Drosophila melanogaster: one gene and its partner. Changing the gene in region 2 together with the main gene of any one other region gives a genetic interaction. Each region holds a gene or a part of one and is shown on either strand. Other genes may lie near its edges. The genes, in order: Tbce and Tbcd.

Evidence for each region.
Region 1: of Tbcd (region 2) and Tbce, changing one enhances a phenotype caused by changing the other (phenotypic enhancement), as found in Drosophila melanogaster (one study listed by BioGRID).

What each region holds. Positions count from the first base shown.
Region 1 is NT_033778.4:6,040,355-6,045,583, forward strand, and holds Tbce (Tubulin-binding cofactor E), read left to right. Parts: upstream 1-2,177; 5' UTR 2,178-2,295; intron 2,296-2,300; exon of another isoform or gene 2,301-2,354; 5' UTR 2,355-2,573; coding exon 2,574-2,669; intron 2,670-2,738; coding exon 2,739-3,211; intron 3,212-3,260; coding exon 3,261-3,684; intron 3,685-3,741; coding exon 3,742-4,024; intron 4,025-4,079; coding exon 4,080-4,375; 3' UTR 4,376-4,610; downstream 4,611-5,229. UniProt on the Drosophila melanogaster protein: Tubulin-folding protein which is required for the development of the neuronal microtubule network. Essential for the development and function of neuromuscular synapses.
Region 2 is NT_033779.5:2,145,816-2,152,293, reverse strand, and holds Tbcd (Tubulin-binding cofactor D), read right to left. Parts: upstream 4,777-6,478; 5' UTR 4,648-4,776; coding exon 3,705-4,647; intron 3,648-3,704; coding exon 2,514-3,647; intron 2,453-2,513; coding exon 2,033-2,452; intron 1,966-2,032; coding exon 1,499-1,965; intron 1,447-1,498; coding exon 841-1,446; 3' UTR 630-840; downstream 1-629. Other genes in the region: AIF (apoptosis inducing factor), read right to left, coding at 1-61, 148-259; CG11723 (uncharacterized protein), read left to right, coding at 5,270-5,408, 5,481-6,394.

The DNA of each region.
Region 1 (5,229 bases), on a different chromosome or scaffold from region 2:
TGTCCTTGGTCGAGCTTTCACTTTCTTCCTCTCGGCGCACGCGCTCTCGGCCTTTTTCTCTTTGCTAAATTGGGCGCCAAAAATGATTGTACCGGCTGCATTGAGTCGAGGGGGGCAATTTCTGATATTCATAAGCGAAGCACTTGTATGTATATGAAAATGTGTACATACATCTGCGGATGTGGATTTCCACTGCAACCGCCCGTCGTCAATCGCAAATTGGATTAGCAGTGGACGACGGTTAGGGGGGCGACTGACCCAGAAAAGATGATAATGCGGTGCCGGCAAGAAATAATACTTGTTAAACTTACTACATATATATCATTGACAGAAACACCCTGACTATCTTTTTATCTCTGATTATCTTTTTTTTTTCAAAAATTAGCTCACTACAATCCACTCTTTTTCAGTATATACGAATGATATTACCGTGCACTACAAGAATGCAAGCCCAACTGCAATTAACAGTAATTGGCGTAGCCATTCAGCAGCATTGCAAAACTACAGAAAGGGACCAAAAATGTAGATTTGAACAATTTTAAACTGGCTGGATATTGACTCGCATCAGTAATATAAAATTCTCCATAAAAATGCACCTCAGTTTTCAATGATAAAATAGAATGTAATGATAGATAGAATGTAAATGATAGAATGATGCGTTTTCGACCTTATAAAGTATTTTCCTTCAGGATCACTAGCCAAGTCGATTTGGCCGGACGGACGGACATGTCCCGATGAACGTCGAGATCTCAGGAACTAAACAAGCTAGAACGTTAAGAATAAGCATGCTGAAACGCAGGTACTGATGTAGCCACGCCCACAACCTGCGAAAAACTGTCACACCCACACTTAAAAATTTGTTTTTCAATTTCTATCGATATGCCAAAAAATGTTTCAATTTCTCGTTAGTAATTCCACTAGCTGGAGTATCTGATAGTCAACGAACTCGACTATAGCGATCTCTCTTGTTTTTATTTACTTGCGCACCGGCCATACATTGGTTTTACATTATCCACCACTTTTTTGGTGGCCGCAAATTAAACCGAATAGGATTATATTTTTAGATTATCATTGGGAATGAGTTAGAATTAATTTAATAACAATCTAATAGTAAAATTTACTGGAGCAAATGAATGTAAATATGATTGCGAAAAATTAACGACACTGATCAAATATAATTCTGCTGCAAAGTGCTCAAGTGCATAATAAACATTTGCAGGACACTCTAGGAAGTCGACAAAAACAATACATATATATATGGGGATATACTGTCCGCTTGCTTAAAAATGTCTTTCATGGCTCCATATTTCAGATCTTAAACACCGCACTTGAAAACACCGAATTTAAATTATCTCAAAATCAAAGAATCCAAATTAACATTACAATTAAAATACGGCGGGTTGCTAATGAAATTATGTATTTTTTTTTTCTAAAATTATTAAAATTAGAGAATATCTCGAACTCAATTTGATAAAATATTTACTAAAATAAGTAGCTACGAAGGGGCATTAGTGGTAAACACATTAACAAGCTGTTAGCTTAGTACAACATTTGAATTTGAAAATGGCGCACTATCAGAATGACTATCGATGTATGCATTACCACGAAAGTTACTGCACTACATGTAGAAAATACAATCTCCTTGAAAATCCCAAATAAATAATAATCTCATAAATAGTTTATAAATTACAAGACTTTTTATGAAACTCGCATTTTAGAACATCTATGAATCGGGTATTGATTTTGGCTTCCTATTTTATATATATTTTCATGTAGCTTTTAAACAGTCGTATATAAATAGATCTGTCAAAACAATGAAGAAACATGTTAATATTAAAGGCCCCAAGATACAAAAAATTCGCAATTCCTCAATCAATCGCTGCGAACTCACTTGCGCGCAAAGCTGTTCAATAATGTTTTATTCATAAAGTCTTGCTGAAATTCTCTGTAGCAAATATCATTTAGCTAGATTTCAATCTTTTGTATTTTTCAAAAAAGTCATTTAGAATGTGACACAAAACAGTTTCGGTTCATGAAATAGGACTTATCAGCGACTTTGACATATTTAATTGTTATTAATGGCTAATATTACATACCTTTAACAAGAACGTAGATCGAACTTGATATAATCGTCTGATTGACTGAGATGGCATTGGAAAAGTAAAAAAAACCAGGAAGCAATTTAAGGTATCATTTTTTAAAAAAAAAGTTGTTACCCTACGTTGGACGTAACGAATCCTTACGTTTTGCTCATTTAACGCCCCTCGAAGTGTGACCAGTCCGCGTAATGAATAGGTATTTCATTGATATCTGCTTACAGCCACATTTGACTAAACACTAAATATAAATAATAGTTTGTGACTCAGAATTTAGGCTTCAGGAGCTACGCAAAGCTTTATTTCCTCTTCATCAAAGCTGTAATGTTGATGTAAATCCAGGAGAAATCGTTTACAGCTATATCTGAACACATTCTGGGAGCAGCTGCGAATAAGCAGACAAAGGTGTGAACGAGTGTGTAACAGCCGTGTATACTTGTGTGGGCGCCGAGGAAACTACAAACAAGAGCCAAAGCGATGGTGGGAATTATCGATGAGGTGCAGCTTTTTTATCCCCTAGGAACCCGCATCAAAATTGGGGACAACTACGGCACAGTGCGTTATGTGGGAGAGGTGAGCCGTTGGCTGGTTTGGCTTCCGCAGGCATAAGACTTAATCCCAACCTGCTATCCGTATTTTTAGGTGAGCGGCCATATGGGTAGCTGGCTGGGAATAGAATGGGACGACGGACTGCGTGGCAAACACAACGGCATCGTGGACGGCAAGCGCTACTTTCAGACGCAGACACCCACGGGAGGCAGCTTCATCCGACCGGGAAAGGTAGGGCCGTGTGCCACCCTGGAGGACGCTGCTCGGGAGCGGTACCTAAACTACGACTCGAGCAACGTCGACGAGTCTCTTATCCGGGAAGCTCAGGCCAGCCTGCAGGCGTCGCTTTTTGAAGTCGTGGGCATGGACAAGATCGCTCGCAAGCAAAGCAAGTTCGAGCAACTGGAGGAGGTGAGTGTAGACCAGACGCCGGTAAACGCTGCCGGTTACCTGAAGGAGTTGACACACCTCACAACGTTGAACGTAAGCCATACCTTAATCTGGAATTGGGAGATCGTGGCCAGCATAGCGCAACAGCTACCCTCCTTAACCAACCTGAACCTGAGGTAAGTAAAAATAAGTAAAATGTGCCACTTTAATTGCCAAACCTTTTAGCTCCAACCGATTGGTCCTGCCCACGTCATCCCAAATCACTGAGCTTGAGCCCTCATTTCGGCAGCTCAAACGCATCAACCTTCGCAGTTGTGGCTTTTCCGACTGGAAGGATGTAATGCACACAGCGCTTCTCTGGCCAAATATTTTGTCACTGGGCTTACAGGAGAATTCACTCGGCCAGCTAGCAGAAGTCGATCGAACAAAGATATTTAAGCAGCTACATGAACTCGACTTACACCGCACGAACATTATGGATTTTGACCAGGTGACAAAGTTGGGCAACCTCACGACTTTGCGCTTACTGAATATCATGGAGAATGGTATCGAGGAGATAAAACTTCCCGACTGTGATTCACAAGAAAAGCTTAATATTTTTGTCTCGCTGGAGCAGCTGAACCTGCTTCACAATCCCATTTGGAATGAGGTAGGGCAGCGTTTTTTTGGCACTAAAAAATTTACTGTCATAATGTTATCCTCGCAGGCTGATGCGTTTAACGAGCTGGACAAGCTGCCACAGCTGAAACGCCTGAGTAAGACTCCGCACTTAAAGTCAAACTTTGATGAAATGTTCTCCAAAGCTGTAGCTAGCATAGCCAGCCTGCAGTTCATTAATAAAGCCGAGGTGACAGCGGAACAGAGACGTGGAGCCGAGTACGATATTTGGAAAAAGTATGCTCTAGATTGGATGCAGGCGACGCAAGGGGGGACAGATTCCTTACGGGAGTTTTGCCGAAGACATCGCACCTACCCCCTGCTGGTTAAAAGTAAGCTACTATCTGCCTTGGACATTCCAAAATTATTTAATATATATGTTTACAGAGTACGGTTCCCCGGCAGACTTTGTACCGCGTAGTCAAGCGAAGCAGTCGAATTTGATTAATGTTTCCATAAGACATCAGCTGACGGGCGAAACCTGGGAGAAGAAAGTCCCGCGAATGATTACTGTGCAGACGCTGCAGGGATTGGTTATGAAGCGATTCCGGTTAAGCGGTGACGTCCCGCAGCTTTGCTACGTTGATGCGTTGCATCCGGATCTTGTGGTACCATTGGATAACAATGCTAAAACACTGGACTTTTATTCTGTACAGGAGCATGATACAGTTTTGGTTCAATAGCGGCCAGTATAATAGCACGGACTTTGCACCATTCTCCGTATTTAGATGTATTACAGTTTTAGACAAATGAAAATCAAAAATTCTTGTTCGATTTTACTTCTGTCTCCCTCTGTTTTAAAGTGCAAATGTTATGTTAAGGTACTAATAAGTTGAACATTTCACTAAGCAATTCCACTCAGATATTTATACTGTTTTGCTTTTCAAAAAAGAAAACACGTTATTTAACCAGATAATTAAAAAAGCTTTTTTGCTATTATTGTGGGACATAACGATGTTATCAGCTGTATTAAAGTTGAAGTAAATGTGTATTGGATTGGAAATCAACAAAAATACCGGCCGACGGCCATGGCAAGTTCGACAAGCGAAGCTACTGATCCTTGTCGAGAACATATATATTTTAATATCTTAAAAGCGGCGGGCGCAGAAACGTTATCTTTTCAATTTATGAAGCCATGCTAATAATGTGGGACATTTTTCTTTAGCGACCTCAACAGTCCGATAACTTCCTTACTCGTATAGTAAAAGGTAACTATAATTGTAGAGAAGCGCAACCTTGTTGTCGAACAGTTGCTCCTACTAGTTGAGCAACAGGTAGCTAGTTTTCTCTGATGTTTATTACTTTCCTCTGGATTCTATAATCAGCAATAATTTATGAAGAATGTAAATTCAACAGCAATTCTCAGTTTCCAAAAATATTTTCCCTAATGTAATAAATCGCTAAAATTTGCATAATTCGGCTCCAGCAACTGTCGCCTGGCATTATCATTAATAGAGTCGGACTTAATTGTTGACAAAGTTAAAGTTGCTCATAAAACAGAAGGAACCGCCCCCACGAAAAAGTAAGGCATGTTTAC
Region 2 (6,478 bases):
GCCTCAAGGGTGCGTTTCTTTACCATTTGATAGAGGCTGCTGTGGGCTGGCCGAAGAGGAGCTGAAATCGACGTGAATGCTAGTTAGTTATCGGCAAAAACATGAAAACACGGATCGGTTTGGCCAGCCGGCCATAACCTCACTTACCGTATGCCGGCGGCGAGCGCTGCGGCACTGGACCCAATAGCCTTCTGTTGGCCAGGATGTACGCCTGCCGGATGAACCTCTGCGTCAGACATCGGACCCCCCAAATACTCATCGTGATTTGCACTGGCTGCGGAGTAGGTGACACCACAATCCACAATTGTGTAACGTAACAACGTTGTGCGGCGAAAGAAACGTGTGTTTTGCGAGTTCGTGTTTTATTTACAAAAAAACCAATTTCTATGACAAATTTCTCCGTGTGAAGTCCGGCGGTGTTTAATTGATCTCGACTCCTTTATCCCTCCTTGCTTTTGGGTAGTCCGCGTTTAATTTATATTTATTTTTCATTCCCTCGCCTGTCTTGTTTTTTTCTGTCTCTGTCGCAGTGTGACCGTCGCAATGAAATGGGAAATGGCCCAGCGCCTATTCGAAATTATTTGGCTTGAAAATAGCCACTTTTTATCAAAAAGTGTTCGTTGGTTTTTGAAATGTTGAACAATATTTAATTTATTTTGAGCAAGTGAAATTTTAAAATCGAACTTACAAGCTCTTTGTTTTGAAAACGATAAATATTAAAAAACATGTTAAAATAAAGATGTGCTTCCAAAATAAAGAATAAAAATTCTTATGAATACCACTTATGTATGTTGTCAGTACAATTGTGCATTAATATATATTAAATACATGTGGGAACATTCATTTATCAGCACTCGCTTGCTGCAAAGCGGCTGCAGCAGCTGCTCCACTTACGGGAGGCTTGATGTCCATTAGTTGGCACAACTGGTTCCGCAGCGGACGCACCTCCACCAGCGGCTGGGTCCAGTCCGTTTCGGAGAGCAGTGTTAGGATCTCATCCATATTCTCCTCGGGCACTTCGGTGACATCGCCGTGCAGAGCCAACGCTTCGTACAATTTTGTGGCAGCGGTTTTGCGAACGTGGACGTGCTGCAGTCCAAGAAATACTGAGAGCTTGGAGAGGATGCGTTTAGACAGGCGAGGAACCTGGAGCAACTGGCAAAAAGCACTGATGCTGGTCGCAGTCTTGTACAGCTTCTTGTAGCCCTTAACCTCCAGGTTGAGCAGCCTAAAGATATCCTCTGCAAAGGGATTTGCTTCATCGTGTAGAACCGATTCTACAGTTCCGGAGCCAATGAGTATATCCAGGAAACTGAGCAGAGGATAGGTCACGCGCTCGTTTAGTAGATGCTCCTCGAAAATCTGGACCACCTCGGAGCAGAGACGCGGAACAGTCTCAGGATTGGAACGCAAGAAGTGGAATAAGGCACTGGAGGCATACTTGATCTGCAGGAAGAATATTTTAGAGATTGATATAGAGGTGGTCTATACAACTTACAAGAGATTCAGTCAGTTGACCAATGCTGGCACTCAGACCCAAAAGAACTCTTTTAGAGTAATCCGGCAGAGAGAGCAGCTCGCAGAACAGCGGGAATGTGTGATCGGCAAATAACCAAAGTACGGAATCCGCATCCGCGGGAAATATTTCCAAGAGTTTTGAGTGCTCCCGTATGTAGGGGATCCTCGGCTGATGATGGATCAGTTGGCAGCAAAGGCGACCACCTAATCCACGAGTGCGATCGATCTTCTCCACCGCCTGTTGCATAAAGCCCACGACAATCTCATGCACTTGCTCTGGGGCGAGGAGATCAGGCGGACACGTAGTGACGATTTCGTATAGCGATGACATAGCCGCCTCCCTCACCCACGCTCCGATGTCACCACGGTTGTCCAGGGTGTACTCTTGAAGAGCTCTTAACAGGCATTCGATAACCTTGTTAAAGTTTTTCGGCTCAGCAAATGAGTCTGAAAAAATAATTGTATACTAAGATTTGTTCACATTCTTAGCCCACAACTAAGATCATTGACTCACCAATTCCCCCTCCATATCCCACGGTCTTCACCAACTTGGTCAAGGCCAGCACGCTCTGTGTCCGTGCCTCGCTCCACCTGTATGCCTGGATGTTCTCGCGGTCACCCATTTCACCCACCAGAACTGCTTGCAGTGGAGTTAGGGAGTGCTTCACCAGACTGTCCAATATAGCCTGCAGATGACAGCGGATCATAAAGGATGGGAGCACACCCAGAGCAGCAATGTAGCCCATGCGAATGTGCTCCTCCAAATCGTTATCTGCACCTGTTAGATAAGTGTTGATTATGGCTTCGTTTTCCCCGTGCCTGGAATCTGAGCAGTAATAAGTGGTACAGAGTTCACCGAACGCTTCCACCGCACCATCCCGAATAGCGTTTGATTTGGTGATCAAACAGGAATCGATGACTTTCTGCCAGGAAACTGAAACGAATAAACGCAATTAAATAATATGCTTGTTATACTTTAGGGACTCTTTTCCTACCCAAGCACTCCGGCGTAGCCTGCAACTTGGCCAGACTGCAGTTCTTTATGTAGCTGCTGGTGCAAGATTTCATCAGGTCGCCGCTCATTCCGCGATAGAAATTTTTGTCTAGGAACGTTATTATTAGTTCATTCAGCTCCGCAACCCGTTGGTTGGAGAGGTAAACCACTTGGGGATCACTCTTTTCCTCTAGTTTCCGTAGGGTCAGTGTTATTTCTCCCATGGCTAAGACACAACCATGCCGGCAGTTAATATCGATGGTGTCAGTTTTTGCCAGCAGTTGCGGCAGCACCACAGCGGCCATGTACTCGGGCTCCCAAAGGGATAGTTTGTGCAGGGCTTTGGCTGTCAGCTCCCTTATAGCCGAATCCCAATGGCTTACCTTATGCTGAACTAGATGGTTAATCAATGGTTCCCTGTACACCTCAAACTGTGCAATGTAGTCACTGATGTTTAGATAGGAATTCTGCCTGATGCCCACGGAATAGAAGTCCGTCGTGGTGGAGATTTCGATTCCGAAGGGAAAGTTGCCCAGGCGTCCCACACTTTCCTGAAAAGCTGCCGAGGCAGCCCGCCTGCAGTTCACCTCGCGGTCGAACACTGCAACGGTCAGCAGGCCAGATGAGATTTTGTGCACAAATGGCTTCACATCATCCGGATTGTAAGCCCTGGCAAATGCCCAGCACATGTAGCAGGCTGAATCTCGGATGTGTTGCCCCACCGACATGTAGCCCTTCATCTCGTCGTAGAAGAGCGCCTGCATAAGGAGGGGTACTAGCTCCTCCAATCGATGTGGCAGCAGCAATCCCCTTTTTGCCAGTTCTGCCAAAGCCAGGCATGCACCATGCCAGGCCTCGTGGGGTTCCAGCGGGTTGAGTATATCAATCACAGACCCTATAACCTCATCGGCCAGCTCCTTGGGAAGGCGATTGGTGACTCTGCCTAATCCTTTGGCGGCGCTCCAGCGTATATCGTTTCCTCCGCTTCGCAGTGCCTGGAGCAGCTCCTCAATCACCTCTTCTATGGCATCGGGGACCACTATTTCCTCGCCTTCCTCCAGGGATTGCTCCAAAACAACTGGTTCACCTCCTGCCGCAGTTGTCTGGTTTAGATTGGTGGCCAGTGAACGAGTGCCTAAGAAAACACTAGTTTATTATGGTTTCATGCGTGAATAACAAACCCCAGGCTTACCTCTTTTATACCGCCAGCTGGCAATGCGTGGCTTCAAATGAACCAATCCAATTCTCTGGATGATTTTTACATAGTTCTTGTACTTGAGAAAGTCGTTGTCATCCTTGTACTGACAGGAAGTGATCCACTGAAGAAGTTTGTCCGCATAGGGCAGAAGATCTTCTCGCTTTCCGTGCTTTAAAATAGCAGCCACTGCAGCCAGTTGGCCGAACTTGACGTTCAACGTGTCCGCTTGGTGCTGCTCCATAATCCAGTCCAGGAAGCGCTCCAGATATAGATCCTTGATGTCACTGCGAATGAAATACTTGGCGGCCAGGAAAGCAGCCATGCTGCTGCATGTGTCGTTGGAGGACACATAAAGCTGGATGAGCTCGAAGATGCGATCCATCTTGGTGTTCTTCGACTGAACATGGTTCACGGGACTGCAATTGGTGGTGGGAGCAGATGTGGAGGTGTCATAGGCATCTAGTCTCGACATGTGAAAGGGATTTAGGACCAGGATAGACATCCACAGGAGCAGTATATAGCGCGTTTCCCACTGTTCGAACTCCTTGGGATTTTGCTGACCCAGCAAATCCAGAACAAACTCCAGATCGCTCAGTTCGTGTGGCATAAACTTTACCAGGACCTTATAGGTGCGCACTTTGCAGATGATGTAGAGATACTTGAAGGCTGCATGAAGCTCTCCAGTGTCTAGATCTGGCTTCCGAATCTTGTGGAGCAGTTTGCCGAGTAACTCCTCCAAATGTGGATCCAAGAGGTGTGGCTGCTCCTGATATCTAGACAAAACCTGGGCGTACTGCTCGAACTCCCTTTCGAAGGTGTTAGCGGCAATGGATTTGATGTTGTCGATCATCTCCAGCACCTGCTGCAGTTCGGTGAAGTGCTCCAGCGTGTTTGCCGGCAGGTCCTCATCCTTGCACTCTTCCACAGAATTCGACATGGCTGCTTGACGATTTTATCGAGTTTTAAACCCACAGCCGGCAACAAAATCAATTCGTTTGTGAATCATTTGTTTTACTGCCAGGGTTGCAACCCCAATGAAAGTATGCTGGTATGACACCACGAACTGACTCGTCTCTTTCTTACTGTTTTTCGACCAAAAGGGTCTTTATCTAATTCTTTATCTTTAAACTAACATTTTTTTTTGGAATCAAATGCAGTTATTGTACATTGTGCTCTTTAAACGTTTGTAATAAATCCTACTAAATAAGTTCATCTAGTGTCATAGTGCCTTTGGTGTGGCCGTTTTGCATGCACCTGGTAATACCGTTAAGCAGCTGTTCGACCAGAGCTGCCAGGCGCAATTAATCATTTATTTGTAGTGGCAAGCGAAACTGCGAGATTTAGCAAGAGCAAGATTTTGTATATTCCACCAAAACGCAGCAAAGCAAGCCCGAATTTGGGATATTAAAAGTGTTACCGTCGGGTCGAAACCGCTCACACATTCGTCGAGTTTGCTGTGAGCGCGGTCATTGCTGTGAAAATTGCGTTGAAAATTCGGGATCCGCAAGTTTCGGAGCATTGCATTTGTGGACAAACCGCAATTTCTGGTCCACTGCGCCATGAAATCAGATAACTACCGTCTCATACAGGAGGTGTCCAAGCGGCGGTGCCTGTGGGACACAAACATGTCCATTTCGTACCGCAACCAGGACGCAGCTCTCCAGTGGGCGAGTGTCGCGCAGATAATGCAGCAGGATGGTGAGTGGCGGATAAACGAGGAGGGTTTTATATGCCTAGGAAACCTATAAATAACACCTGGTCATTTTGCAGTCTCGATCTGCAAGAAACGTTTCAAGGGAATGCGGGACAGCTACCGGGCAGAGGTGCGCAAGATACAGCAGAAACGAATCGAGATGTCCCACTGGCCATACTTTCGCTCACTGGAGTTCATGCGCCAAATCTTCGATCCGGAGGGCCTGGTGCCCTTTCCACCAGAGCCCTTCGTGATGAACACCGAGCAGCCGGAAGTCTTCGAGCCCACCCGACTGGTTGACTTCGCTATCGATTTGGATTTGGACAATGATGACTCTGTTGACTTTGAAATCATCGAGGACATATTTAAGCGGGAGCCGTCAGTGCCCCAGGACTCTGGCTCGGATAAAGGCTCGCTGATCAAGCCTTTGGATTCTTCATCCTCGGGCGCCCATCGTTCCGATCAGGATCTATCGCCCACATTGCCCATACACTTGCCGCGCCACCAACAATTCCTGCCACGTCCACCCCCGCCTTCGAAGAGAGGACGTCGGAGGAAAACTTCGCCGTCTAACGATGTCCCCTTATTGAATGGATACGCCAGCCAGGCGTCAAAGTCTACCACTGAACCCGATCTAAAGAACGATTCGGACTTGAGTTTCTTGATGAGCATGATGCCGCACGTAAAGTCTCTGTCAGCCATTAGCAATCTTAAGTTTCGAATGGAGATGGCGCGCGTTCTGGTGGAACTCAGGGAGGAGGATCAGCACATGCTCGCGGCGGCGGGACCCGAAGACGTTCTAGAGCGCAGCATGCCCAAACTAACACCAGCCCCGAATTCCAGTTTTGCCACTCAGCTGGAGAAATCCCAGTACCATCTATCCAATTCCAGCTACCAAATCAGTAGCCGAAAAACACCAACTTCGTTTGACTATGTCGACAGCTCCATGGTTGAGTGCGATGTCAAGATAGAGAATGAGCCTCTGCTATGAAGACTTCATACCAAATTTTTACGATTTTACATTCACCAATAATTCTCTAAGGAGTATTCCTTTCATATTGTTACAAGTCTTAGA